Linked DNA regions of Tamandua tetradactyla. The protein of the gene in region 1 purifies or fractionates together with the protein of each later gene. This does not show direct contact. Links are inferred from orthologs where the notes say so. Each region holds a gene or a part of one and is shown in the gene's direction. Other genes may lie near its edges.

Region 1 (9,871 bases):
CTCCCACCCACAGATCTTCCGCTGCCTGCCGTCCAACGCCACACGCTCTATGCGGGCACTCCGGGAGTACGTGGCTGTGGAGCCCCTGGCCTTGGTCAGCCCTCCCTTGGCACGGTCTCAGCTCACCCAGGTCCAGGGTCACCTTGTTCACTTCCCCCTCAAGTTTCTGGAGGATGAGTCTTTGCTGCCCCCCCTGGGCAGCAAGGAAGGTGTGATGCCCCTAGAAGTGTGGACATAGCAGAGGCTCCAGACGGGAAGAGGCTTCTGGCCACTGGGCTCCACCACGTCTGGCTCCTTGCCCCTTAACCCCTGACAACTGAGGGCAGTGCCCTTGGAGACCTGGGAAGGCAGGCATCCTTGACAGGGCTAGAGAAGTCAGAGAGGGCCCTCCCTTGGAATGCAGCTAAAGAGGGCGCTCCCATCCTTAGGCTGGGGAGGCAGGAAGGGTCCCAGAGCAGAGCAGCCTCCCCACTGTCTGGTTGAAGCCACTGCTACAGAGGAGCAGGAAGCCAGGGTCAAGCCTGTTACTCCAGAAGGAGGGGGCTGTGTCCTGGGCCTTCCCCATCTCTCCTCTCCTCCTGCCCTTGAAGCCTCTCTTTGCTCAAGGGCTTCCCCTAGCCCCTTCCTGCCAAGGTCGGGGGAAGGGTGAAACCGCCTTCAGGCTTCAGCCCCACCTGGGAGGGGCCACACTAACCCCCTCCACCAGCCTACTGACAGACACTAACTTTGTATCAGTCCAATAAGCGTTTCATAAATAAAAGTGAAAAAAAATGTCCATGCCTCTTCCTCAGTGGAACTGAGTGCTGTTCTCAGTCACCCCTCCCTGCCCATATGTAGCCCTGGTGCCCTTCACCTCATCCATGGGAGGGGAACTTTTCCAGCCCATTCCTTTGTTTGTTCTCCCATTTCCCTCTCCGCTCTACGGGATCTCGGTCACCGGGTTGTTGAGAGAAGGAGGTGTTCACACAGCGATGCCTGGGTGGGGGCTTTCAGTCAGGAAGAACTAGATCCAAATCCTGGATTTGTCACTTGACCTTGTCCATCCACATCCCCTCTCTGGGCCTTGATGGTCCCCAGTGAGAATAATATTTAAATGCCTGACTTGCTGCAAGGATTCAGGCCTTGACTAAAACATTTCTTGAGTACCCACTATCTGCCAGGTATCGTTCTCGACTCAGAAGCGAGCATAACAGACAAGGTTTCCCCGCCTCGTGGTGCTGTGTTCTGGTGTCTCACTGTCCAAGATGGTAGCCGCTAGTCACATTTGATTATTTAAATTTAAATGAGTTAGAATTAACAAAAAATTGAAAAATTTAGTTCCTCAGTTGCACTGGCCACATTTCAAGGGCTCCATAGCCACTCATGGCCAGTGGGCAGCGTGTTTGGACAGCTCAGGCCCAGATTGTTTTCATCACTAGAAAGTTCTGTAAACAACGCTGCTCTAGGGGAAGAGAGAACTAAATGGCATAGTCTGTGAAAGAGTATAGCAGGCCTGGGACAGAGGATGGGGTTGCCTCCCAGGGTGGGTGGAGAGAAAGATAAGAAGTATATCGAGAGCCTTGACTAAACTGGTAACATTTCTTTGAGTGGTGGGTAGACAGATTTTTATTATATATATAAGCTTTACATATGTCTGAAATATTTGAAATAATAACAATTTAAAAAGGTTTAGTGCAGGCCCTGGCTGTTGCCCTTCACTCCTCCAGCCTCATTTCTCCCTCCAAGTTTCAGAATTGATCCTAGTAGCATGAAGAAATGGAGGGGACTAGTAAGTTAGGAGCATTCCTGGAAGAGGGAAGGGTCAGAGGGGTGATACCGTGCAGAGAGGGAACGCTTTTGCTTGGCCCTCATCTTTTCTTTTGACTCCAGCCCTCTGTTCCTCTCTAGCAGCCACTTCCATATAAAAAATCCCCCTCCCACTTGGTGTAGTGGTCTCCCGGTGCTAATTGGAATTCTACTAATTGGCCTCATTATCAGCAGTAAGTGCCTCTTCCCCTAGGGGGACCATTACCTCCTTAGCTGAGGAGTGAGGTGGAGACAGCAGCTGCCCCAGGTTAGGCGAAGCTCTAGGTAAGCTGCTTCTCCACACTGTCTGTGGATGCAGCTGTCCTCCTCAGTCAGGCCTGGAGTTTGTTGAATGGAGTCTACACAGCGCAGGGGCCAAAAAGCAGTGGTCTTGGAATCAAGAGAACTGGCTGAAGATCTGGAATTGAAAGAATGAGTCCAACCACCCAAGGGAGTTGGGAGGCTCTGAAGATGGGTGGGTCTGTGCAAAGGATTCATTTGCCCCCCTTTCCAGGTGTCTTATGATTGGTCTTATTTTTAATATTTTTTGACACATGGTCCGGGACTCCCTCCACTCCACCACATAGTCTCTTTTAAGGTTTTAATTATGGGCAATTTCAAGTAAATACAAAAGTAAAGGCTAGCATAATGAAGGCTCATGCATCTAGGTATCACACCATCATCCTGCTTCAAAAATTACCAACTGAGGACCAGTCTTGCTTCTCTGTCCCCTTCAGAAGACACTGTCTCGAGCTTGGTGACCATTTATCCCATCCCTGTAATCTTGATTTGCTTAATCATTCAGTATCTCTTTATTAAACACTCTGTGTATCAGGCGCTGGGGAAGACCTAATGTGTACCAAGGGGTTTATGTCCCAAATTTTATTTTATCTTACCTCTATAAAGTAGAAATTATCATCCCTATTTTATTCACGATGGAATTGAACCTCACAGAGGTTATAAGCGATTTGTCCAAAGTGCTAACTTCAAATTCTGTTTTTTTCCTACCGTACTAGCTAATGGTCTTGACCTTGAGTTACCATGTTTTTACGGTACCTACCCAGACAACAGGATGCCTCCATTCACTTAAGGGTTATTGACCTTTTAGTGGGTGCCAGGCCCTCTGCTGAGCAAGACTGACCTCATTCCTGCCTTAAAGGAGATTCAACAAGACATTTACAATTCAAATTGTTTAATGTTACCATGGGCTTAAACCTGGCAGCTGACAGAAGAGGGGCCAAAATCAGTCTTGGTGGGTCAAGGAAGGCCTTTTGAAAGAGGCAATTTAGCCATGAAGACAAGGCAAAGAGTGATGAGAGTGAGCTGGTCAGGAGGTGAGGAGTACTCCAGGGAGAAGAAATAAAGTGCAAAGCCTGGAGAAAAGTATATCGAATTTTGGGATGTATAAATAGAATAGCTCAGTATGGCTGGACTATATCAGGTTTAGTGGCAGAGTATTAAGAAATAAGGTAGCCACTTCACCCCCACTAGAATAGCTACTATTAAAAACAAATAAAAAATAACAAGTATTGGCAAGGATGTAGAGAAATAGCAAAACTTGTACATTTTTGGCAGAAATGTGAAAGGGTGCAGCCACCATGAGAAACAGTTTAGCGTATCTCAGAAAGCTAAGTATAGGATTACCAAATGTCACAGCAATCCCACTTCAAGATATATACCCCAAATAATTGGAGGCAGGGACTTCTACACAGATGTTCCATAGCAGCATTGTTCACAATTGTCAAAAGGTGGAGACATCCAACTGTCCAATTGTCCATCAACAGAAGAATGGATAAACAAAATGTTGTAGACATAAAATGGAATATTATTCAACTGTAAAAAAGGAATGAAGTGCTAGTGCTGATACATGAGACAATGTGGATGAGCCTTGTTGAGTGCAATAAGACAGACACAAAAGGATAAATATTGTATGATCTCACTTATATAAAATAATTAGAATATGCAAATTCTTATAGTCAGAAATTAGAATACAGGTTTCCAGAGGGGTGGGGGGAGGGTATGGGGAGCTAATGCTCAATTGGTAGAGTTTCTGTTTGGATTGATGGAAAAGCTTTGGGAGCCGGTGGTGTTGATGGGAGCACAACATTGTGGATGTGATTAACACCACTGAATTGCATACTTGAAAGTGATTAAAATGGGGAATTTTATGTTACCAGAATATAAAAATAAATACCCCATAGAACTGTATAACACAAAAAGTGAACCCTAATGTAAACTATGGACTAAAGTTAACAATAGAATTATAATAATTGTGGTTCATCAATTGTAACAAAGTTACCATACTTACAAAATTTTAACAGAGAAATCTGTGTGTGCATGTTTGTGGGTCCTATATGGGAACTCTGTACTTTCGGCATAATTTCTCTGTAAACCTACAACTGTTCTTATATTTGAAAAATGCCAAAATATAATAAGGCAGAAGAAACTGGCAGAATCTTGAGTCTTTAACTCTACCTAGAAGACAGTGGGTCTTAAACAGGGGAGTGGCATCAAATTTGAGTTTCAGAAAAATTATTCTGGGTTTGGAGAATTTGCTGATAGTAGTGGAGGCAAGCGGTGATTGTGGCTTAGATAAGGGCAGTGGCAGTGTAAATAGGAATTGAGAGGGAGGGCAAGACTGGATGTCCACTTAATGTGCCAAGGAAGGAGAGTATTCAGCCCATTTCCAAAGACCTTAATTTCAAACTTTCCTAGGTAATGTTTATATTAAGGCTGGTGGGGGGGGTTTTCAGAGATAACTGTGGTGGTGAAAGGGATTTCAGGATCATACAGCCTTGCCCCCTCAACTTTAGTGAAAGAAGAGCCCAGAGAAGCAAAGCAACTTGCTCAAGGTCACACAGCATATTAGTAGCAGAATATGACTCCTTATTCTTTAGGTAGAATTTTCCAGCCTCCAGTGAGGCTAATGACTGGGGGTGTTGTGCCAACATGACTAGATCGAAGGTGACCCAAGCGAGATTTGAAGGAGTTGGTGACAGCTTCCTCCTCTTTCCCTGACTCTCCTCCGGTGCAGTTTTAGTGATCAGTCAGTGAGTAAATGTTCAAACAGTTCCTTTGTGCAAAGGAACTTTAGAAAGGTGCAGAGATACACGTCTGCGGTAGGAATCCCTATCCTGAGATCTGACTTCCCCTTTTCAATGCTCCCATGCCAGGTAGGGAAGGGGGTAAAGGTCTGTTCTGAGGCTGCTAGTTGTCCCCACCCCCCCCCACAAGGCTTCTCCCCTAGGTTCTCACCCAGAGGCCCTTCCCACAGCGGCTCCACTGTTGCCATGGCAATTGGGTGGGTGGACAGACAGCCCATCCCATCTAGAGGCTACCCAGCCCTCGCGTGGGGAGTTTCCATAACAACCCCCCAAGTAATAAAGGGGGTTGGATTCCGCCCCCCTTCCCCCGCAACTAGATAGGTGGGTGGCTTGATTGGCAGCTGGGCATACGAAAGAAGGAGGGAAAAGAAAGGCAAGGCACCAACAGAATTCTAAAAGGAAAATGGGGGAGGGAAGACGAAAAAATAGGAAAAGGGAAGGAGACGCGCGTGCGCACGCGCGCCAGCTGGTGGGCGCGCTCCGCGGCCGCCCCGGCCACCGCCCACTCCTTTCACGCCAGGCTTGTGCGGTCGCTAAGTCCTCGCGCGCGCCTTTCGCTCTTTCTCTTGCGCCTGCGCGCAGGTGTCGGCGCTTAGGGGGAGGGGGAACCCGGCGCGCTCGCATCACGTTCCCTCTTCCACCCTCCGGGTACACGGACGCTCTGCGCCTGCGCAGGAGAGTCGGGCGGCTCGGGTTGCAGGCTCCGGGCGGTAGCTCCTGTCAGTCGGTGGGTCGGACCTCTTGCCGGCCCTCCCCCATCCCGGATCTCCGGGGGAGGCGCGGTGGAGCCCGACCCCTTGGTCCCCCGATGGGGGAGAAGCGGCGACGGCGGCAGTGGAATAACCGAGCCGGAGCGTGAGCGGCCCTGGGGCCCGGTTCCCGGCAGAGGCCATGGGCGACCCAGCCCCCGCCCGCAGCCTGGACGACATCGACCTGTCCGCTCTGCGGGTGAGCTCGCCGCCCCCCCCCCAGCCTCAACCTAGGCCGCAACCCCGCTGTAGGAGACTGAGGGGGCCGCACGCCTCACATGCTCCCCGGGAGCCCCCTCCGCCAGCCTCGTGCCCCTCGCGACCACTGCCCTTTTCCCGGGCTCCTCGTGCTGCAGGGCTCCCCCTCTGCACCCCGCCCCCCCCCCCCCCGACTCGCGGCAGATTCTGGGAGCTAATTTGGTCCCCACCCTGTGGTGCCCCGCCCCCACATTGCCCTACCACCCCTACTTTTGCTGGGAGGTACGGGACCTCTCCCTCCCAGTTTGAGGGCCACCCTTTAGTTCCTCTAAACTTATACCCCCCCCCCATCTTTGCAGAATCTTCTCTGGCCCCTTACCTCTTCTTGACCCTCTCTCCACTTTTACCCTTACTTATCCTTCCTTCTCTTCCTGTTTCTCCCCTACGAATTTTGATCGCAACTCATCTTGACAGCCTCCCCCTCATCACCATTTCTTTTCCTCACCCACCCCTGAATTGCATCTCCTCCCTGGTCGGAATTTCAGCCTCCCCACAACGCCGCACACCTTCTACCTTCTCCCTCATCTCCTTGTTCAGTTTTCCCTATCCCTTCTCTCCTGTTTCAAGTGTAGCAGTCCAGAACCAGGCATTTCCGGTGTCAGGGTCCTTGAATATTACATTACCAACTCTGCAGCAGTGTGGGACTGGAAGGAAAGACAAGTGCACTGGGGGAGGAGGGGAAGCATTTATTCTCTTCAGAAACTAGCATGGGCTGAGAAGAGGATGTTTATATGTACATACATACACAAAACGTGCTGCTTGTGGTCAGTCAGGAGGTTTGGAAAAGCGGTGGGTATGTTGGCTGGTGGGAGGAGCAGGCCCTGGAAATCTATCCAGGGAGGAAATAATTAGAAAGGCTGGTGAGGGGAAACAACTGCAGCAGGAATTTCTTCGAAATACCCGTTTATTGCTTCTCATGGGGTCTCTGACATTGAGGAGCTTTCAGTAGTATTCACTCATTTTCCTTCAGCAGGGAGCTTTGACTTAAGGGGCAACTCAGTGGTTTCAAGGTGAATACTCCACAGACTGTCAGCCAGGAAAGTTGCCCTTGGAGCTTTCTCAGCAGACTAAGGTGTGGGGAGAGCAGGGCTTCTCCCCTCTAGGTTTGCTTTACTGGAGGTCCTGTTCAAATTGACTCGTGGCTTTTGATTTAGCCAGGGAAACAGCCAGTAGCGGGAAAAGGCGGTCAGTCATGCAGGTGCCCCGGATATGACTGGAGGGGAGAAGGGAATTGAAGAGAGCAGAGTCACGTCGTTAATTGGGTTTCTCTAGGTGACACAGTTTTTTTTCTTGCCATTCAGGTCATAATTTGTTTGGTGCAATGTTGGGCTGAGATATGGCTTGCTGGAAGTGATAAGTTGCTAGGGAGAAAGGCTAAGCATTGAATTGCTGGGGGCGGGGGCAGGGGGAGGGTGGCAGCACAGGGCGGGCCTGAAGGCTTTAGGAGGAAGATTCTTTAAGGTCCGCTCACCAGGGTTTAAACTGGGATTCTCAAGTTAAGTCAGTTGGAGTATAAGATGGAAATCCAGACTGAGTTCAAGTCCCTTATGTGCTCTATCTTCCCTTCCCATTTGGTTGTTGATTAACTCTGACTATTCAGGTTCCTGTGGCTGTAGTAACTGAAATACAGTTTAAAAAATGGGTGGGTCCAAACCATGACCTTTGGCTTGAACCTTGTGGGACTCTACTTGGGCTTCTTTTTCTTTTTAGCCTCCCATGATAGTTTCGCCTGGACCCTCATTTTGGGATTTCCAGCAATTCTGCAAGAATCCTCTGACCTTGGATGTGGTATTTCCCTTCTGGACTTCTCTGCTTGAAGCAATGTTATTCCCTCCTTAGTTGCTTCCTGCCTTATTCTCTCCTTCCCTCAGGAGAGCCAGGTGACATGCTCCCAGTGCTTCTGTCTGCCTTGCCTCATGCTTCTTAGGAAAGCACTCCCCTTCCCCCATTCCCACCCCAGTATTCCAGGGCTTGAGGGAAAGGTGTGCTTTCTTTAACATGGGGCTAGAGAGGGCCTCCTTTCTCCTTGCTGCTGACCTTTTCCCAGTGCCTTTTCCCTCCATTCCATTTCAGAAAACTGCTGTGGCACTGTCATCTCTTGCTAGCTCTGTCATCTTCTGTTCTGTCCTGTTTCTTAGTGAGAAATGGAAACCTGGAGAATTAGCAGCAAAACATTTTTCCCTTCACTCCATCATCTTGTGTTGAGAGGGGTGGGGGGGTATAGGACAGGAACATGTTCAGCATTTATTAGCTGGCCTTAAAGAGCCGAAGTTGTCTTTCTCCTGTAATTTCAAGATAAGGCTTGATTTTCAACTGATGATGAGAGTAAAAGTCTGATAGTAAGGATAACTGAATTGCACTAAACTCTTAGCCATTTGTGGGAAGCCTAGATGGGCTGTCACTTTGTGATACACAGCCCCACCTGACCTCTTTGAAGCTCCAATTCTAAGCCAGCGCAGCACCGAACCCTGAGTTCAAGTCCAGGCTTCCTCACTTACTGTGTAACCATGGCCTTACTCCCCCTTCTCCCCTTACTCACTACAGATTCGGCATAGAGCCTTACCTCTTTAAGGCTTCGTTTTCTCATCTATGTAGTGGGGATGGTAATAGCACTGAGCTCATTGTTGTTAAGGACTAAATGAAATACTTGCCATTAAGATTTTAGTCCAGTTCCCAGCACATAGTCACCCTATGATGACCTTTGTTATTAATGTTATCAAATTACAATCAGAGAAGCCTTCTGGGACAATTATTTCTAAAATAGCACGCCCTCCCCTGCTTTATTTTCATGTATTTTATATAAAATTTTATATAGCACTCCCTTTGTTTGCTTTATATATTTTTCAAAGTACTTAGCAGCAACTAACATATTTATTTCTGTCCACCCTGAGTAGAATGTAAGCTCAGTGAGAGCTAGGATTTTGTTTTGGTCAGTTTTGCATCCCCAGTGTCTCTACCAGTGCTTTGCCCCTAATGGGGGCTGAAATGTTTGTTGAATAACTGCATGTTTCAACAAGTGAAAGCTCTTAGCACAAAGCTTGTTTAGAGAAAGAATTCATTAGTCAGGCTTGTTAGGCTTCCTCTTGCCTCTCTATTATATACACACAATTAAGAATTATCTTTTCTGAGTTGTTTTTTGAATCACAGAATTCTGGAAGCCTCCATCTGAGAGATGCCTTTGAAGTAAAGTTAGAATCATCCAAGAGAAGATTTGGGCCTCTTGTTTCAAACCTTCTCTGAGTCCAAGCTTGGTTATATTCCAGAAGAATATTCTGACTTGCAACTCTTGGCTTCTCATAAGGAATAAGTATTGGCATTTACCGAAGTGGATGAGACATGGAGGAGGAAGACCCCAGGCTGACCTCTTTCCTTTTTCATTCCTCCTTTTGCTTGACCCACTTCATAAATCAAACATCTTCTCTTTACGGTCCAACCAGCTAAAATAGAAGTTTTAGACTGCAGTGTTCTTGCAACAATGAAGCTGTGCTCACAGTAGCTAGAGCACTGTTAAGAGGGACTTGTTGCTAGGTGGTAGTTGCTGACAGAGATGTTCACTTTCAAATGATTTTTTGTTATTGTGTTTTTTCTTTGGAGAAGTCTTTCTCTTCCTTTCCTTTTCATGTGGCTGTGGAGCTAGTATCACTTGGAAAGCTGGCAGTTCTGGGAATGTATTTCTAGGCTGCTACCATTTTCTGATGTGCTGGCTGTCCAAATATTGATAATAGATACCTTAGGCAAGGGAATGGGGAGATTGATCTGCAGCAGCAGTAATGGCATTAAGTAGTGTCTTTTTCCCAGTAGAGCACTGCATATAGTGGGAACAGTTGCAGCTTGGGGAGCTGGTGGCATTTGGAGTGCAGTGAGATGGTGCTTTGGCAAAATAACGGGAGGAAGGTTGCAGAGAACTTTGCTGAAACTAAGTGTTCAGCTATTCCCCAAATGAGGAATTGATACCACCACCCTTTATGGTATGGA
Region 2 (9,781 bases), on another chromosome or scaffold:
GGGAATGAAAGGGGAGGCTGGAGCTGGTTGTCAGAGCCTCCCTCACCCCAAGCTTTGCCCTTCTCTCCCCACCTCTTCTTAATTCCCCCTTTTCCTTAGTTAGTTCCACTTTTGATCTCCTCTCCTCCTGGAAGCCTGCCCTGACCTTCCAGCCTGGTTTAACACCCTCTTTGGGTTCCTTAAGCCCCTTAGGTGACCCCACCCCAGCCAGATCACTCCAAGCCATCACCATGTGGGGCCAGGTCTGTGTCCTCCCGCTGGACCGAGAGACCCATGAGGGCAACACCCGGGCCTGGGCCTGTCTCTGCTTCATCCCCAACACTACTCAGCCCAGAGCCAAGTACACAGTAGGTGTTCAGTAAGCGGTTTTTCACTTTCCCTTCCCATTCAGTTCCACCTTTTGCCTGTTCTTTGTCAATGCTCATTCAGATTCAGGTTTAGTTATAGATGCCCCTCACCCCCATCCTCAAGCCCGCTTCCTTCCTCTCTACCATTCTCTCCTCCAAGAAGCCACCCCTGATCTCTTCTCCCCTTCCCTCCCACACCCTGCTATGCTGCAGCCTTGAGCTTTAGCCACCCCCCTGCTGCCTCCATCTCACTTCCTTAAGTTCGTGGGTCATTTTTTTCCTGATGGTCAGCCAAAGCATTTTGGTTTAGCAAGAAAAGCCAAAAAAATTATTTTAAGGCATAACTCTCCCAATTTTAAAATGCTGGCAGCTAACTGAAGGGAAGAGAAAGGGGGAAAAAAAAAAGGGTGGCATGGGCCGCATCAACAGAGGCTGTCAGCCTTAGGCCATCTACTCCCAAATGACCCCAGGTGGCGCTGTCTCCCCGTCCCACGGTGCCTTGTGGACTGGGCTGGTTTCCCAGGGCCAGGGGTGCAACTCTCTATATTCCCTATAGATGCTCAAAAATTTTTCACAAGGATTTTATTGGTCTCTGCCCCTGTCCAAGGGAGGGGACATCAGAGACCCAACCGATTGCCAAATCTGTACCTCCTAAAAACAATGATCCATGTTCCCCATTCCCACAGCTCTCCTCCTCTGGCTCCCCCAGTTCCCCACCAGCCTCCCCCATCCTTCTGCCCTGGTCCTGTCCCTGTCCCATCACCTTCCCTATGGCGACCTGAGGGATCTTCCTGAAGCACAAACCTGACCTGTCTCCCCCCTGCTCAGATCCTGCCCTGTGCCCTGGGAGAAAGTTTCAGCTTCTTACATCCCACCCACCCCTTCAGCCCCCTCTCCTGCCACGCCCCCTTCATGCTCTAAGCCTCAGCCACCTTGGACTTTTCTTTCCCCCAAACATGTCTTGTTTCTCGACCTTCGCAGATTCTGTTCCCTCGTATATAAAAGTCTTTTCTCATATGCCCCCTTCTTCCCATCCTCCTCCTGAAAAATTACTGAGGCTTCAAACCTTGGCTCAGAGGTCGCCCCTTGCTTCCCCATCCCAGCCCTGCCCACCCTCGGTTGTCGCTGTCTGGGGATGAATCTGTCTCCCCACTGGACTGTGAACCCCAGGAGGGTAGGGCTGGGAGTGTTTCAGCCACCACTGGGTCCCCAGCATGTGAGATTGCACTTGGTGGGAAAATGCTGGCCAGAGTCCGGGTTCCTTGTCTAAGGCCAAGGCAGCTCTATCCTAGCACCCACTCAGGTCCCAGGAGCCAAACTCTGACTTCATTGCCGTGTGCCGTGTGCCGGATCTGGTCTTCCTGCCTCCTCTCTCTCTCTTACCAGAAATGCCCTCCCACCTCTCTGCCCTTCCCAGTCCTGCTTGCCCTTCCTGGACCCAACTCAGATGGCGCTTGAAAACCCAAGTCACACTTGAAGAGCGATTCTCTAATTTTTATAACCTTGGCACTGCCTTCTGGATCTTAGATTGGTCCCACCTTCTTTCCTTCATCTCTTCAGCATGTATTTATTGAATTCCTACAACATGCCAGACACTGATCTAGGCACCGGGGAGACAGCAGTGGACGCACAAGGACAGCAGACCACATCCCAGCCCTCGTGGGAGTCACACTGTTGGGGAAGGAATCTTTGGAACCAGAGAACCTTCCGGGTCTTAGAATCTTACCATTTAGGTAGTTAGAAGCACAGAATGTCAGACCCTTAGTTTTAGAATCTTCATGTCCTTGAAGGTCACAGCAAGAGACCATCCTCCTGCTTCTGCCATGGTCCCCTACAGTCTGTTCACTGCTCTGTGCCCAGAGGGATCCTGTTAAAATCCGAGTGAGACCCTGTCCCTCCTTTGCTTAAACCTGTGGCTTAAGCCTCACCTGGAGGACAAACCAAGTCCTCCTCATGGCCCACAAGGCCCCGTCTGCTCTGCCCAGTCCCTCTCTGCTTTGCCCCCCACCACGCCTCACCAAACATCATTCTGCAGACATGATCAGATCACTCCTGTGGCAGTGCTGTCCCCTCCCAGGTATCCACATGGCTCCTCCCTCCTCCCAGGTATCCACATGGCTCCCACCTTCCCCCCAGGTATCCATGTGGCCCCCCATGTCCATGTGGCTCCTCCCTCCCCCCAGGTATCCACGTGGCTCCTCCCTCCCCCCAGGTATCCATGTGGCTCCTCCCTTCTCCTCAGGTATCCACGTGGCTCCCCCCTCCCAGGTATCCAACTGGCTCCTCCCTTCTCCTAGGTATCCATGTGGCTCCTCCCTCCCCCCAGGTATCCGCGTGGCTCCTCCCTGCCCCCAGGTATCCACGTGGCTCCTCCCTGCCCCCAGGTATCCACGTGGCTCCTCTCACAGCCTTCAGGTCTCTGCCAAAATGTCACCTGTCCAGGGAGCCTTTCATTTTAGCAGCCCTATTTAAACATTTATTAACCTCTTTCCACAGACTCCCTGTCCCCATCCCTCCTTTAATTTTTCCCCTCTAGTACTTCTCCCATAGACTTTACTTATCTATCTTGTTTACTTGCTGAGTCCCCACTGAAGGTGGAGATCTGTTTTCTCTGTTTTATTTCCTGGGCTCTCCCTAGCACAGAGCTCAGTAACTGGCATACAGTAGGTGCTCAATAAAATGTGGGTGGAATGAATGAAGTTCTTGAATTGTTAAGATGGGGAGACTGTGGCTCAAAGATGGGAAAGGATGCAGGGACCAGAACCCAGGTCTCTGCTGCCCAGGCTCTGTCTAGCTGACTCGGGCAGGAGTCACTGAGCAGGACCAAACCAGGTCCTCAGACTCTAGCTGGTTTGACACCCAGATAAAGAGGTGCTATCTACCAGTGAGGGGGTGAGGGGACCAGAGAGGACAAAGAAAGTCTTCTAGTTCCCTGACGAGGCTCGTCTTGGCCTCCCTAACTATAAGGGCTAAAACCCCTTCAATGGGGCCAGGCAGACATAATGACAATTTTGAAGGTCCAAATGTTTTCCATTTTCCTGAATCAGGGTGATGATAATACCAACAATTCTAGCAACTCACAATGTGCCAGACCCTCTTCTAAGCATTTTACACCTATTGACCCATTTAATCCTCACATTATGATTACATTGGAAGATGAGGAAACCAAGGCACAGAGGAGTGAAGTCACTTGCCTAAGGTCACACAGCTAGGAAGGAGAGGAGCCAGGATTTGACCCAAGGATGCTGGCTCCAGAAACTGTGATTTACACTAATAAACTCCACTGTCTTTCTTGGGTCCATGCAGGTAGCCCTGCCCTCAGTCTACCGTCAGTGTCCCTTTCCCAGCCCTAAGATGAGAGGTGGTTTCAAAACTGAATGTGGCACATTAATGAATTCAACTCATTAACTCTACAAACAGATATCTTTTCAGTGCCCTCTGTGCCAGGCACTGTGTTCTGGGGAAATGGAGTGAAGGAGGGAAGGAGACAGAAAAAAATCACACAATTACATATGGGGGCAGGAAACCTGCAAGAGGCTGTGATAGAGAAAAACTAGGGGGTTGCTTTAGAAAAGGCAGTCAAGGAAGGAAAGGCGAGTTAAGCTGAGACATCTGTCTCTCCACCCCCCACAGAGCAACATGAGTGGATCTAGACTTGCTTTGGGACTGGGTTCACCAGGCCTGAGCTCTGCACTGACCTGAGCCTCAGTTGTTGCTTCTGTAGAATGGGAGTGTGAGGGGTAGAGAAAGAAAGAGGCGCATGGGAAAGCCTTTGGGGACGAGGAAAGGACAGTTTCCATGTAAAGTGCTGGTGACACTGAGGGACTTCTTACCTACTAGGCTGCTGGCTGGGGGGACTCCAGGGGGGCAGTTACTGCCCGATTCAGCTGCACTGCTGTGGGAAGAACCAGAAAATCCCAAATCAGCCAATCTGCAGAACAGTGCACAGCTTCATTTTTACCTACAAGAGGTGACTAGAGCGTCAGGAAATCCTTTCTCTGGAAACCCCATAAGCTCAGGCATAACCTGGCGGGTCTCGGGAAGGGGATAGAGTGGGATGGGTAGGATGTCAGTAACCATAACAACCTGTAATGTGCCTCCACTGCTCCCCACCGCCCCCCATAATGTGTTCAGAAAGGTGGAACTGAAAGGTATGGAAGCTGTTACCATGCCGATGCCTTCCCTAGACACATTCCACCTAGAGAGACAATCCTAAATGTCCCCTACCTTGGTGGGCCTGGTTCCCAGGATCACCGGAAGGGGCTGCCCTTCCCCCATTACCAGAGTAACCAAGACTTGGCCTTGCTTGTTTCTCACCTCCCAGGAGATGGTCCAGGCCCTGTATCCATAGTAACTGTCCTTCAGAGCGTCTTCTCTAAATAAAAACACCTGGCTGGGTTTGGCCACTGGGCCTCCCACGATGGGAAGTGGGGGGAGATGGTTACCATGGTAATGCCAACAGAGTGCACTATGCCGGGGGAGGGGAGCCTGGGGCTGGGGAAAAGAGATGCTTCTCAGTGATCAGTCTATTTGAGGCTGGGGTCCTTTTTACCTGAGTGCTAGGTGAGGAGGGTTGCCATAGTAATCGATGTGGTAGGAGTAGAAGAATCCACCAGGGACTTAGGTTACCTTAGCAACCTCCTCCAGGTGCAGGGCCCGGAGAGGTGTGGGGCTCTATAACCACAAAGGTGAAGGAGGGGCTCTAGGCTGGTAAGGGTTACTATGGCAACCGACCTGGGCCAGGAATCAGAGGATGGGGTCACTGCTGAAACCACCCCGGTAGTCGCCCTTTCTCTCCAAGAGTGAAAGTGATTTTCAAGGGGCGTGGTATTTGGGTCTGGACAGGGTAACAATCTTTCCTTCGGGCGAAGTAGGAAGAGGGGGGCAGCAAGCGGACCCTCCCAAAGTCTTCCCGCTCCGAGGGGCGAGCCGCACACCGGCCTTGGTCTCATTTGCCCTCTGCGGGGCGCGCGCCCCTTCTTTGCCCCGCCCCTTCCCTCCGCCCCCTCCCTGCGCGCGCCTAGGGGTCCACCCGGGTGGGCGAGGCTCGCGCCCGGCCTCTTCTCGCTCCCGGCCCCCCCGCCCCACGCCGGGCGCGCGCGCGGGAGGCGGGGGGGGGGGGGGGCGGTTGGCGCGGCCGCGCAGGCGCGCGAGGCACAGCGGGCGCGCGGGCCGGCCTCGGGGCCTCCATGATGGAGGAGCGAGCGGCCGCCGCGGTCGCCGCCGCCGCCTCCTCCTGCCGTCCCCTCGGCTCCGGTGCGGGTCCCGGCCCGACTGGAACGGCCCCGGCCGCTGCCCCTGCCCCCGGACCGGGCCCGGCAGGTAAGGGAGGCGGCGGCGGCAGCAGCCCTGGACCCACCGCGGGACCCGAGCCCCTGAGCCTGCCCGGGATCCTGCACTTTATCCAGCACGAGTGGGCACGCTTCGAAGCCGAGAAAGCCCGCTGGGAGGCCGAGCGCGCCGAGTTGCAGGTGAGTGCCGCCCCGGGACCCCCGACCCCCGCCCGGCCCGGCCCGGCCCGGCCCGGCCCGGCCTCACCCGCCGCCGCCGCCGCCGCCATCTTGGAGCAATGGCCGCCGGGACAGCCGGGGGGGCGGGAGGGGGCCGCGACCGGCTCGGAGACGGAGTGGGGGGCCGTCCGAGGAGGGTCCTGAGAGGGCCCGGCGGCGGGCTTGGGGGGGCCCGGGGCGTGAGAGCGGCCGGGCCGTACAGAGGAAGGGGGCGGGAGGACTCCAGAACCAGCGGCGTGTAGCAGTGAGCGGTGCACCGGCGGACGGGTCCTGAGGGGAGGGGACCCGGGGCGGGTGGGGAACCTAAGCGAACTCAGGAAAGGATCACGAGGGGAGTTGGAGGGGTCGGAGAAAAACCCGAGGGGTCTTGCATGGCAGTGAGCAGAAGACTGCAACGGACTCCCCCCACCCCCACTCCCGGACCAGCCGAGGGTCTGAGATGGGGCTTGATGGGCCCCGGGTGGGTGGGAGGGGACGTCGGAGCGGCTGAGCGAGTCCCAGCGGGGAACCGGGAGAAGAAGTCCTCGAGCCTGGGGATGGGGTGTGTTTCGGAGCGTTCGGACCGGCGAAACTGGAAGATCGCTGTGGCAGGACTTCTGAGGGATCCCAGGGTGAAGGTGTGTACCTCCTCCTACGGAGGGGAAATTTTGGGGATCCCTGGCATGTATGGCCACAGAGTGTGGGAAAGAGTCCTTGGGATGGAAGTGTGGCCAGGACAGAGGACGCACCCTAAAGAGCCTGTGGGGAAGTGCTTGAGAGCAGAGACTCCAGTTTGGGGGTGCGTGCGTGTGTGTGTGTGTGTGTGTGTGTGTGTGTGTGTGTGTGTGTGTGTTAGGGGGATGGCTGTGAGTTGGGAGGTGTGTGAAGGGTGTCAGGTAGAGGACCCTGAGCTGGAGTCGGGAGGTGGGAGTAGGAGGGGGAGGGGGGGAGGGGTATGCCTAACCGGAGAGAAGGGAATCTGGGATGGTGACAATGAGGAGGAATTTGGAAAGGCAGTAGAGGAGGAAGCATCTTAGAAGGATCCTGGGGGGAGATGCATTTGCGGATGTTTCTGGGAAAGGAACCCATCCATGGTTTGTGGAGTAGCTTGAGAGAAGGTTGTGCCCTAGAGTGATGTAGACAGGAGTCAGAACTTGAGCTGTGTTGCTATGACCTTGGCAAGTGTAGGATCCATTTGCAGAGACTCTCTGGAGGAGTCTAGGGATCAGAAATGAGAGAATTTGAAGGGATTCAGGGATGGGGCATGAGGAGTCTGAGGGTTCCTGGGCTCGAATATTACTGGCAGAAGTTGTCAGTACCAGCTTCTGGTAACCCCTCCTGATTTGATTTTTTCTATCTAGCTGATGTGGGGACCCAAATAAATAACTGAGTAGAATATTGTCTACAGGATATAGAAAGAAAGCCTCCTTTCCCAATTCAGGGTTATGAGATTGCATCCCACAATTCTCCCACCTACACCGGGGATTTTGGTTGTGTGAAAACTGAGGCTTGGGGCTGGAATAGGAGAGGAATAAAGCATTTCTCACTTTTGTGTCCCACGCTCTATTTCCAAAGCTCTTTCTTAGTTTACATCTCATCAGATCATCTCAACACCCCATGAGGTATCTATAACAGCACTTGCTGTTTACTGAACACTTGTTTTATGCCAGGCTGTGTGATAAACACTTTATGGACATGTTAGCGTTTAAATGTAACATTCTGAGAAAAGTGATTTTTGTCCCCCCCCCCTTTTTTTTTTTTAAAATAATCGGAAGAGAAAACCAGTGCTTTCAAAGGGTAAATTATGTATCTAGGATCACAGCCAGAAAGTGGTTTCAAACTCTTGCTCTATACCTCTCTGTCACTCAGTACGATGCGAAAACTGGCCCAGGGAAGCACAGCGACTTCCCCAGGGTTACCTAAGCAGTCACAGCAGAGCCTGGACTGAATCCCAGTCTCTTGGGCTCCATGCTAGAGCACCCCACAGCACCCACCACACCACTTTCTCATCTCGGAGACTAATGGGCAAATAGATGTGTATTTTATTCTCTCACTCAGAGACCCTTCATGGAGTTTGAGAGGAACTTGTGGGTAGCATTCAATTAGACTTTCTGACATCTAGGCTCTAGCATCACTTACTTTGTACTTAGATTTTGTTCTGTTACATAGTAGTAAGTATTCAAATATCTCAGATGTGTTGTGTGTGTGTGTGTGTGTATGTGTATGTGTATGTGTAAAGGGAGAGTCCCCTTTTCATTCTTCATCCCTTCCCTATTCCCTCCGCCTTTCTACCCTGTTATTGCTATGAAGGCAGTTCAGAGGATTTTTGTGTTTAATATATGAAATGAAACTGCATATATCATTTTGTGACTTTTTTCCACATACTTGTTTGTTTTGGTGTTCTTTTCCATATCAGATCAGAGAACTCTTCTTTATTTTTGATTACTACCTCCCATTCATTGATTATCACTGCAATAGTTTACTTGGTCCTTGTTGATGGACTTGTAGGTTGTTTCCAATTTTTCACCATCAGAAACGACTGCAGTGAATATCCTTATACTCCTGGGTGAGTGTAAAGAAGAGATGGAGATAGGGGTGTTTATATACTGCTGGTTGTTTCCCAAGTTGCCCTCCACCAGTTTATGCTCCCACCAGCAGTTCCTCTTTTTTACACACCTCTAGTAAAGCATTGATCACTTACCAAAGGTGTAACTTCTGTGAGAGCCTTTAAGGCCCAGATGGTGTCATGTGTTTCTGACTTACTGTGGATAGCTTCTTGGCATCTGTGAAAAAGGCTGTTCCTAACCCAGGGCCTCCTGTGCACTCAGTACTCGTGCTCAGTAAATGTGGGTTGAATGGCAGAAGAGGCAGTGCTCTGTGAGGGCCTGCCATGAGGCCCCCAAAGTTGGGAGCAGGGAGGTGTTGTAGAAGCAGGCTGGTAATAAGCAAGAATTTGCAAGGGAGTTGGAGTTGGGGGTTCCCACAGATAGGTGATGAGGTTTCTGTCCTTCAGGAACTTCCAGGCCAACTGGGAAGGCTGGTTTACACAGGGTGCTACAGAGAACTGTCCAAATTTATGCACAGTTGAGTTCTTGATTTTGAGTCTCTATGTTCTGTGCATTTCTGAGAAGGGAAGCTCTTTGAGGACAGGAAGAACTTCTTGGAGTGAAGGATTTCAATGGACATTCCATGCAGGAGTTGAGAGATGGAGATGCGGTAAGCATGGCCCCAGCTGAGAAGGTGGGGGGCTGACCCCTTCCCACTACCAGCCTCACACAGGGGTCCTGAGAAATCCAGTGGAGACTTATTCCTACTAGGAGCCTCGGCGCTTAGACAGGAAGAGTATGAGAGATGCAGGGCTAGATGGGACTCTACGGGGAACCTCTCCCTGGGGTGGGACAGGAAGGTTAACAGAAGGGACACAGAGATGTCAGCCTCTGGGGGCAGGCTTAGATGGTAAGTTCCTCTGGAAGCCTTTAGGTGCTGCTTCCCCATAGACAGGAAAGATCCGGAGGAGAGATGGCAAAAGTGAGGTCTCAGAATGGTTTGGGTATGTGTGTGGTCTGTCATTCTGGCCAGAAGGATTGGCAGGGAAAGGATATGATAAGAATACCTCTACTCCTTCACGGCTCCCCCATGTCAGGCAGCGATGGCTGCTTTCATGTGTGGTGATGAGAAGGATTGACCACAAAACTTCCCCTGAGGCACTGGTGGTTCTCTTTGTTCCCTTCCTGCCAGAGGAACTGGAGAGGGGATGACAGAGCAGGCAGAGTGAGATCTTTGTATTGTAACTAGGAGAAGGGAGATAAGGGCTTGATATTGTGGCAAGTGGGAGAGCTGGGTGTGATTCATTTTTGGTTTGTGGTGGTGCTGGCCTGATTCCCAATTCCACTTTCTTCCCCAGATGTTACCTCTTGGTGACATCTGGTCACCATGTCTTATCAG
Region 3 (9,794 bases), on another chromosome or scaffold:
CACATACACACAAACTATGAACATAACTTTAAGAACATATATGTTATGCAAAATGAGGGACTCCAGGAGCCTGCACCTTGATCAATTTGTGTCTTGGTTTACTTATCTCTGTTACATTTTGAAACTAAGAAGTCAGTAAAAAAGAGTTTATCCTATGTTGACTTTATAGACATTATTACATAATGATGGTTTAAGTATTAAGACAGTACTTCTATGATATTTTTATGCAAATTTTAAAGATGATAAACTTGGAGTTTTAACTTTTCTTTCAAAACTTTGTGGGTTTGTTTCTCAAATTTATTCCTATCTTAACTCATTGGTTCATTTGGTAAAAAATCATTTACTGAGGTACACCAATCTGAAGGCACTGTTGTAGAGAAACAAATGTGAAGATGAAAGTCTATGCCCTTATAAAGAGGCCCCCAGACTTCTCTACTTTTGTCTGCCTATCACCACTCATACAAGATAGCTTAGTATCCAAAACCCAAGAATCCAGCCTTTTCATAGCTACTACCCTAATTCAGAAACTCATCACTTTGCCATCAGATCACCCAATATTTATTATGCAATTTACTAAGCACAGTGCATTCTCAATTAATTTTCACAGTAATCTCAAAAGATAAGGATTACTGCTTTCTGTTTTACAGATAAGAACGAAAGGCTTAGAGATTAAGTAATTTATCTATGATCACAGAGTAAGAGATAAAACTAGGTCTAATGCCCATACTTTAAAAATTACCATATTCTATCCTCATCAATGAACTGCAGCAATTGATTTCCAGTTTCCATTCTCTCAGGATTTTTCCACCCAACGAATCACTTATATTACAATAATCATTCTAAAAGAACTACTCTTTTGATATCTTCCCAATTCATTATGGACTAATTGTCTCCTTAACACTCTCCCAGAATGGGGGGAGGAGGGTAAAGAGTAGGGGGAGTCACATCTTTTTGTATTCCAACAAAATACCAAACACTTAGTAGGTGCTAAATTTTTTCTATCAATATTAATTTCCTCACAAACATTTTAAATAACTCATCACTACCTACAGAATAAATCCAAATGCCTCTCTGTGCTTGTCATTCACACATTTCCTATTTCTAAACACAAATCCTATCCTACACAAACAACAATTATTAAAATTTAATATTTCCTCCCACATCCATCACCAACTGACTTATAAATGGAATACTGTTTTATCTACATGGAAACCTCATCTTCAAGTGTCTTAGTTACCCTGTTGTTCAAATATATAAATCACTGTCCTGATTTTTGAGGCCTTTCTTTCCTAAAAAGATCCATACAACAAATAACACAGAGATAAAATTAGTGGTCTGGCTGACAGTGAGGGAAGTTGGCCTAGATAAATTTAAGTCCAATTATAAGTCTAAAATCTGAATGATTTTATGATATAAGAACGACTAAAGTGATACAAAGCTGTTCAAGCTTTTGTCTCTTGTGTCTTCTAATCTATTTTGCAAAATGAAAAAATTGTTGTCATGAGTTGACAAGTATATCAGTAAGCTAGCTCTTCCAAAAGACATGATTAGTTCTCAGAGCAAATACTAATTTATTTATTTTCAACAAATTATTAAGAAATACAAATAAAATCGTCCCTAGCTTATATTCAAGTAAGAGACAGACTTTAATCATAGAAACAAACATATAATTACAAGTTCTGATAAATGATATGAAGGGCATGAAAAGAGATTATAACAGGGTATCTAATTTGAGATTTAGGGGCACAGGGTAAGGAGCATAAAGAGAAGGATTCTATGAGAAAGTACCACGTAAGCAGAAAACTGAAGAATGAATTTGAGGGGATGGAGAGTGGTGTTAGAACATTCCAGGTAAACAGAATAGCACATGCAAAGGCGCTGCGATGGGAAAGAACTTGGGGCAACTGAAAAGCAGCAGCAAGGCTGAAGCTTGGTGAGGGAAAGGAGAATGTTGCAAGATGCTGTTATATGCAGGCAAGAACCATGTTATGCAGAGTCACGAAAATTAAAACTTTTTTTCTAAATGTAATAAGCACTTAGTGATCAGAAAACATCATGCTGAATGGAAAAGTAATGTGATTTTGTTTGGGTTTGGAGAGGAGAGTGGAAAGGAGCAAGAATGGACAGGGCAACCAGAAAGCATACTGACACTGTTCAGCTTATAGCAATTACAATAACAATCAGCATTTACTGTGTGCGAAGTGCTTACCACAGTTATATCATTTAATCTCCATAACCATCCAATAAAGTGGGAACTCTTATTATTCCCGTGTTACAAATAAGAATACTGGGAACTGATTAAGCCCAGGTGAAACATTGTGGCTTGAATAAGAAAAGTGATAGTGAAGATGCAGACAGACAAGTTCAAAATATACATATACCACACACATACACATATACATACACACACACATATGTAAACATGTGAAAAGACAGAACTTGGAGAGGGAATAGATAAATGGGATGAGAGGGAAGCTATGAATGATTCAAGTTTCTAGCTAATGTTGCTGGATAAATGGATATGCCATTTAATGAAATGGGGAAATGGAGAAGAAAGAATTAAAAGTGAAGAGAAACCAAAATTTTCGATTTTACACATTATATCTGAAATTCCTAAGGAAAAAAAATCAAGTTGAGATGTTAAGCAGGAAGTTGGCTATTTAGATCTGGAGTGCACATGCACATGCACACGCACACGCACGCACACACACACACATATACACAAAAGGAATGGGCCGGAAATAAAAATCCTTCAGTGATCAATATAGAGACAGAATTTAAAGCTTAGGGAGGAAGATAAGAATAAAAGGACCTAAGACTGAACCCAAATATTCCATTTTACACATTAAACATCTCCTGCTAAGGTCATGGATTACCCCAGAGTGATATGAACAATGAATAAAAAAGTATTTGCAAACCCTTGTGGGAATGGCGAGAAAGGGGGAAAATTCAACTTTCCCATGTGGCGAATTCCTGATATTCTCAAAAGCAATGGGGACAACCAAAGTAATAGGCCATGCCTTCAATCTTCGGGTTTGTTCATATGAAACTAAACTCCACAAAAGATAAGCTTAAGCCTACTTAAAATTAGGCCTTAAGAGTCACCCCCAGAGAACCTCTTTTGTTACTCAAATGTGGCCTCTCTCAGCTCAGCCAAAACAACAAGCAAACTCACTGTCCTCTGCTCTCTATGTGGGACATGACTCCCAGGGGTATGGACCTTTCTGGCAATGTGGAACAGAAATCCTAGAATAAGCTGGGATCAGGATCAGGGGACTGAGAAAACCTTCGCTACCAAAAGGGGGAAGAGAGAAATAAGACAAAATAAAGAGTCAATGGCTGAGAGATTCCAAACAGAGTAGAGAGGTTATCTTGGAAGTTATTCTTATGCATTAAATAGATATTCCCTTTTTAGCTAAGGCATAACAGAGAGGCTGGAGGGAACTGCCTGAAAATGTAGAGCTGGGTTCCAGTAGCCATGTTTCTTGAAGATGATTGTATAACGATATAGCTTTTGCAGTGTGACTGTGCAATTGTGAAAACCTTGTGTCAGATGCTTCTTTTATCTACTTTACGGGCAGATGAGTAAAACATAGGGATAAAAAATAAATAAATAATGGGGGAATAAATGTTAAAATAAATTTAGTAGATTGAAATGCTAGTGATCAATGAAAGGGAGGGGTAAAGGGTATAGTATGTATGAATTTTTTTCTGTGTTCTTTTTATGAATCGATGCAAATGTTCTAAGAAATGATCATGATGAATACACAATGTGTGATGATATTGTAAGTTATTGATTATATATCAAGAAGGAAATGATCATACGGTAAGATTGTTCGTGTTTGTATGTTATGTTTAAAAAATAAGTTAATTAAAAAAAAAGAAATGAAAAGTTCAAAAAAAAGATCACAGATTACTTCCATGTCACAGGTTTTCCAGGCCTCAATTCAACACTATTGACTTATTTCATCTCTTCTCCAACACTCATCCTCCTATATCCAGTTATTAAATATTACCAATTTCTTAACGCTATGAGCTAAATCCCTTCCATTTCCATATTTTCTTTGGGCAACTGGATCCACATTCATAACTTCAATTACTACGAATATGGCAAATGACAAAAACACATATCATATATAAACATCATTACTGGAGATACATATTTCCAGTCTAGAACTCTGATGAGCTCCAACACTATATCCAACTGCCTCTTAGATTCCAGTTAGAGGCCCGTCATAAATTATCACCCAAAAAAGGCGTTTACAAGAGGTGAAATTTTGAAGAGAATACCACAAAACCACTGTTGGCCAATTCTCCAGAACATAGGACTCTGTGGTCGACTACCATTTCCTTCCACAGATCATGATCTAAAATAAAAATAGGTAACGTGACAACCTGATTTGATGGCTTTAGAGACAGGGACCAATAAAATGCAAGACAAAACTACAATTCATGATTTTTAGCGACTGATGGTTAAGAGGGGAAAGAAAGTGAAGACTGGCCCAGAGACTGAGTGAGTTTCACCTCCAAGACCTGATGGGATGTGCAGCAACGGAAGTCACCTGAAGAGATGGCAGGCCTTAAGGGGCAAGTGCCGGATGACGACAACCCCAGTGTAAGGGGGCCAGTTTCAGGTTGCGGAGGGTAAGACTGACAATAAATACCAGTACATAAGAAAGGGAAAGCCTGGAGGAAAGAGCCAAGTGGAGTACCTGTGACGCCTTGGGAGAGCGTCGAAGGGTTGGGGGCTGACTGAGAAAAGCGGGGCGAACTCCAGAAGAGAGAACGCCGAGTGGGCGGAACACGTAAGGGGGAGGGGGAAGGAAACGGCTCAGTTAAGAAGCTCGCCTGGGGCGCCTTACCTGTGCCTTCGGGTCCGGAGCCCCAGAACAGGCCGCCGGCAGCACAGAATCCGCGTGGAGGGGGAGGGGCGGGGGCAAGGAAAGAAGGGACACCAACACGGAGGAGTTAGGTCGCTCGCTCCCCCCTAGCCAGGGAAAGCAGCTGATGGCGGGAACTGTGACTGTACGCAAACACGCACGCACGCACGCACACTCGACGCGACTAGGCTTGGCGCGTGCGCGGAAGCTTGAAAGCTCCGCCCCTCGTACGTCCTCTCCCCCCTCCCCCCAACACCAAGAGATGCTGAGCCCAGGTAGTCCCGCCCCTGCCGTGACAGTAGTACGCATGAGCACTTTCTATTTCACCCGCTTTCGCCCTCCCAACCTTTCCCTCCTACTCAGTTCTAGTTGGGCATGCGCACTAATTGTCCTCCCGAGAGAGTCCGGTTTTTCCCGCCCTTCACGGGCCTCCGGAATAGGAATAGAGTTCACGCCTTTCTGGGGTTACCTACTAGATGTCGGAGGATGCAGGGAGTCGCAGGTCGTGGATGTCCTTTCCGCCTTGAGTCTTAAAGGGCAAAGAGCATAGTCTAGGATTAACTCCTCCAGAGGCCAGGAGGCGGGAAGAGGTTGTGTGGGCGGGTTCAGGGGTGAGAGGTCATAGGGCTGCGAAGGGGCGGAGCGAACAGTTGGCGGATGGCGGTTGCGGCAGCTCATCATCTTCGGTGGCAGCGGCGCTGAGACGGAGACGCGAGTCGGTCGCGTCTGGTGGTGGGAGGAGAGCGTCGGCGGCTCCCAACATGCACAGCCTGGCGACTGCTGCGGTGAGTGACTGTTTCGACTGACCTGGGCCCAGAGTCCCTCTTCAGCCCCACTTTTCGGCTTCCTTTCCTAGCTCTCTGTATCGGGCCTTCAGTCCAGCTCCTTCCGCCCTCCACCCGCGAGGCTCCGGTTCCCCTGCTCGAGGCGCCTTGGCTGTGGTAGGGCCGGCCCTCACCTTCCCAGCCGACTGGCTTTCCTGGTCTCTAGTGCCGGGCATCGCGTTCTTTTCCCGCCCCGGGGCCTGGTCCGGTTCCCGGAGCGCCTTCCTCGCGGCTGGGGCAAGCCGTTCATTGATTCACTGCGCTGACCGACAGTTTCAAGGCGCCAGTTGTGTTCGGGCGCCGGCAGGGATGAGGGCACTGCGATGGCAAACCTGATGCGGCCTGTCCTCTCGGAACTCACCGCCTAGGCACATCGCAGCGCGAAGGAAATGGTTTCTAGCTTAAACGACTTGTTTTACAGGTGGAAAATATGAGACATGGAAACGTGAATAATTATTGCATCTGACTTTTGGTTCTCTGCATTTAAAGCTTTTCTGACAGTGAGAAAGTTTCTCGTTCAAACACCGTAAAGTAGCCAGGCTTCACCATTCACCAGCGTGATAAACAAGAAATATGGATCATGTAGTTCACCTGTGTGAAGTACTACTCTGACTTCCCATTGCGCTTAGAGGAAATCCAGACTTCCTACCATGCCCTACAAGGCCCTGTATGATACAGTCCTTACCCACGTTTATAACTTCATGTCACTTTATAAGTAAGCTCCAGCTACACTGGCCACCGTTCTATCCCTTCTTCATGCGCTTTTCCACTCAACTGTGCACTTTCTGGTCTCTGTGCCTGGAATGCTTTTACCTGTTTCTCTCTCCCATGTACAGTGTGTGGGTATAACAGCCTCCTCATCCCTCAGATTTCACCTAAATATACCTACCAGTGGTCCTCCCTGACCACCCTATTCACAGTAATTTTGTATTCTGGAGCTTTATTAGATAGAATACTCTTCATGCACTGAACCCAATTTGTAATTATTGTATTCGTTTACTTTTTTTTTTTTTGTCTGTCTTCCCCTTGAGGACAGGGATTATAGAGTCCTGTGTTAGTTATTGCCCCCGTGCCAGGACAGCTCCTGGTACAAAGTAAGGATTCAAATATTTCATTGGTTGAAGGAATATTGATGAGGGAGATGACCACTGACAGCACATAGCCATAATGGGAAAAAGAGGGACCATTTGCTACATCCTTTTCCCCAAGATGAATGATTTAAGGAGATAGTAATGTACTGGAATTGCATTACCAAGCAAATGACATTGGGCACCCAAAATTGCCTTAGTTTTAAATTTGAGGGAAAAAAAGTGAGCTGAATATGGCTGGGTTGCAGAAAATATTGCTTTCTGAGATTTGATCTTTATGGTCTCATTGCCGTTTCCACAGGCAGACGTATCTGCCTCCCATTACCATGTTTCTAAGTGTTTATATCTATTCAAAGTAGAGAGGTAATTTTTATATCTCCCAAATTAGATGATTACGATTTTCCTACCCAGTCACAAGGTAAAGTTGCTGGTAGGGGAGAGGCAGTTTAAACTGAGGGAAATTCAAAGGTTGACTTATCCAGCTCTCAAAATCTGATTATATCTTCTCCAGGTTTTGTACTTCTGATATCAAGCCACTCTTCCCTGTGTCCCCTAAACTGTATACTGAATCAGGTTGCTAAAGCTGCCAGATGCAATGTACCAGAAATGGAAAGGCTTTTACGAAGGGAATTTACTTTGCTACAGATTTACAGTTCTGAGGCCAGAAAAATGTCTAAACTAAGGCACCCAGGAAAGGATACCTTGGTTCAAGAAAAGCTGATGTCATCACATGGAAAAGCATGTGACTGGCTTCTACTGGTCCTTGTTCCATTCCATTGCTTCCAGCTTCTGATGCCAATGGGTTTCCTCTCTAAGCATCTATGGGCCTTCGTTTAGCTCCTCTGGGACACAACTCTGGTCACCTCTAGCCCCTCGTGGGAAGGTACATGGTATGGCTGTTGGGTTCTGCCCATGTCTAGGCACCTGCTCTCTCTCGCTCTGTCAGAACTCCAAGCATCTCCAAATGAGCATTTCTCTTTCGGCTCTGAAGCAACTGTCCTCCAAGCATCTGCATATGAGATTTCTCAAAGATGTTTCCCCTATTAAAAGACTATATTAAACTAATAAGACCCATCTTGAATGGGTGGAGTCATGTCTTCATCTAATCCAAAGGTCACACCCACAAATGGGCACGTCACATCTCCGTGGAGATAAGCTAATCAAAAGTTTCTGCCCTGCAATTTTGAATTGAAATTAAAAGAAATGGCTGTGCCTTCCCGTGCCAAAAAAAAAGAGAAAAGAAATGGTTGCCCCCACAAGATTGGATCAGGATTAAAACATGTCTTTTCTGGGGTACATAATAGTTTCAAACTGACACAATACCTTTTCAATTCCTTTAATTTTCCGTTGTTTCCTAATGCATCTTTTAAGCAACAAAGCTGTAGTTCATTATGTATAAGCCCACAAGCATGTTTCTTCCATTAAATTTACAATGCCTTACATTTATTTGAAAATTTGAACATTAAGATATACTTTTACCTGTTAGGACCACACAACAACTCCAACAAATTCGTTTTTACATTCATATACTAGAATATTTGGTTTGTGAGGAAACGAGAGCATAGAAAAGTTGTCAACTCTTTCCAAACTCTTCATGCCTTCCATTAGAACAAACTGCCTGTGTTGTGTTATTCTGATTTGGGTAAAGAAATAGTAAAGATGTCTGTCAACCACTAGGAATTGGGACAAATTAATAATATATGCATCATTGTCTATAGTAATCTAAGCTGCTTGAGAAGATACTTATTTTTGCCCAATTTACGAGAATTTGTATTTGTATATGCCTTTATCTTTCTCTTTAAATGGCACATAAGTCATTACTTCAATTGTGGATGATGTGATCATGTGAATGTGGGTTGTTACTAGAGGGACAGATTGAGATAATCTGGGAATTTTTTTGTCATTTTGTTGAAGCTTAAATCTTGACTTTAGAGTAGTATTTTATTATGCTAGAAATGTATAGTTGAGTTGTCATTCTTGAGGGAATACGTCCTAACATCCTTCTTTATAACCACCATAGAATATAGTTTACTTCTTTTTCTCATCTATAAAAATGAGAACAGTTATACCACTTAAAGTTCTAAAGATTGATTAAGAATAACAGAGTACACAGTAGATGGCTGGGTTCACTCACTGGTTAAATGTGTTGCTACTAGACTTCAGCCTTGGGACTTTAATTCCTGCCTTACATAGTAACAGATTACTTTGTTATGGACCTTGGAGGTTGCTTCATATTAATAGAACCGCAAATCTTCACTTACCAAGGGTCTTTAATGAATATTATTCTAGGATCTGAAACAGCCAAAGATAAGCCTTCAGGGGATATATTGGGTATGCATTTTTAAAAAATGTTTCCGCTAATTCCCATTGACAATTGTAGCATCCCTAAATCCTCGCCAGCATTATCATTCCTCATTTTATATAATTTTGTTGAAGCTGTGATGGACTCTCAGATGCCCTCCTTTTTGGCGGGGAGAAAGAACACTGTGCATTCTGGAGGATCTAATTCAAATTCTCTTTTCCTGTGTCTCTCATTAGGCAAATTGCCTAACTTCTTTTTGTTTGCTCATTTCCACTTTTTAAAAGTTACTTTGAAGTACATTCTGGCCTGTATTTTACAAAGATATGAGGGTGATTAAGCCAATTTAATCCTTTACTTTTAGCACTATTTGTGAAGGTTCATTTTCTGGAAATATCATAATTACGTTGACATCCAAAGCCATGTCACTCACCTCCAGACTTGGAAAAATAATACCTATTATAGTTTAATTCCATTCTTTACTCGCTTTCCTGGATTTCATTGTTAGGGAAGCCAACAGCTATTTTGGCCCTTAAATATAAAGTTGTAATGATAGATTTGGCTATTTTTTGTTTAAGAAAGCCAATTTTTCCTCCACGGGGGGAAATTCATATTTCTTTTCCATTAATGGATTAAATGTGGATCTGTTTTATTTAAGATAACGTTGAAATATCTTTCTTGTTTTATTAATTATTAAGAGCTT

Evidence for each region.
Region 2: the proteins of MINK1 (region 1) and STRN4 purify together in Homo sapiens (affinity purification with mass spectrometry; 3 studies listed by BioGRID and IntAct, with this or other methods). This does not show direct contact. The link is inferred for Tamandua tetradactyla from reciprocal best matches to the Homo sapiens genes MINK1 and STRN4.
Region 3: the proteins of MINK1 (region 1) and CNOT9 purify together in Homo sapiens (affinity purification with mass spectrometry; 3 studies listed by BioGRID and IntAct, with this or other methods). This does not show direct contact. The link is inferred for Tamandua tetradactyla from reciprocal best matches to the Homo sapiens genes MINK1 and CNOT9.

The regions. Positions count from the first base shown.
Region 1 is NC_135332.1:60,562,298-60,572,168, reverse strand, and holds the start of MINK1 (misshapen-like kinase 1), read left to right. Parts: upstream 1-5,483; 5' UTR 5,484-5,780; coding exon 5,781-5,837; intron 5,838-9,871. Other genes in the region: PLD2 (phospholipase D2), read left to right, coding at 14-238. UniProt on the Homo sapiens protein: Serine/threonine kinase which acts as a negative regulator of Ras-related Rap2-mediated signal transduction to control neuronal structure and AMPA receptor trafficking.
Region 2 is NC_135342.1:14,476,983-14,486,763, forward strand, and holds the start of STRN4 (striatin-4), read left to right. Parts: upstream 1-5,519; 5' UTR 5,520-5,536; coding exon 5,537-5,818; intron 5,819-5,885; exon of another isoform or gene 5,886-5,913; intron 5,914-7,616; exon of another isoform or gene 7,617-9,025; coding exon of another isoform or gene 9,026-9,052; intron 9,053-9,781. Other genes in the region: ribitol 5-phosphate transferase FKRP, read right to left, coding at 2,074-2,214, 4,181-4,242, 4,665-4,696. UniProt on the Homo sapiens protein: Calmodulin-binding scaffolding protein which is the center of the striatin-interacting phosphatase and kinase (STRIPAK) complexes.
Region 3 is NC_135329.1:194,077,267-194,087,060, forward strand, and holds the start of CNOT9 (CCR4-NOT transcription complex subunit 9), read left to right. Parts: upstream 1-5,141; 5' UTR 5,142-5,641; coding exon 5,642-5,665; exon of another isoform or gene 5,666-5,860; intron 5,861-9,794. UniProt on the Homo sapiens protein: Component of the CCR4-NOT complex which is one of the major cellular mRNA deadenylases and is linked to various cellular processes including bulk mRNA degradation, miRNA-mediated repression, translational repression during translational initiation and general transcription regulation.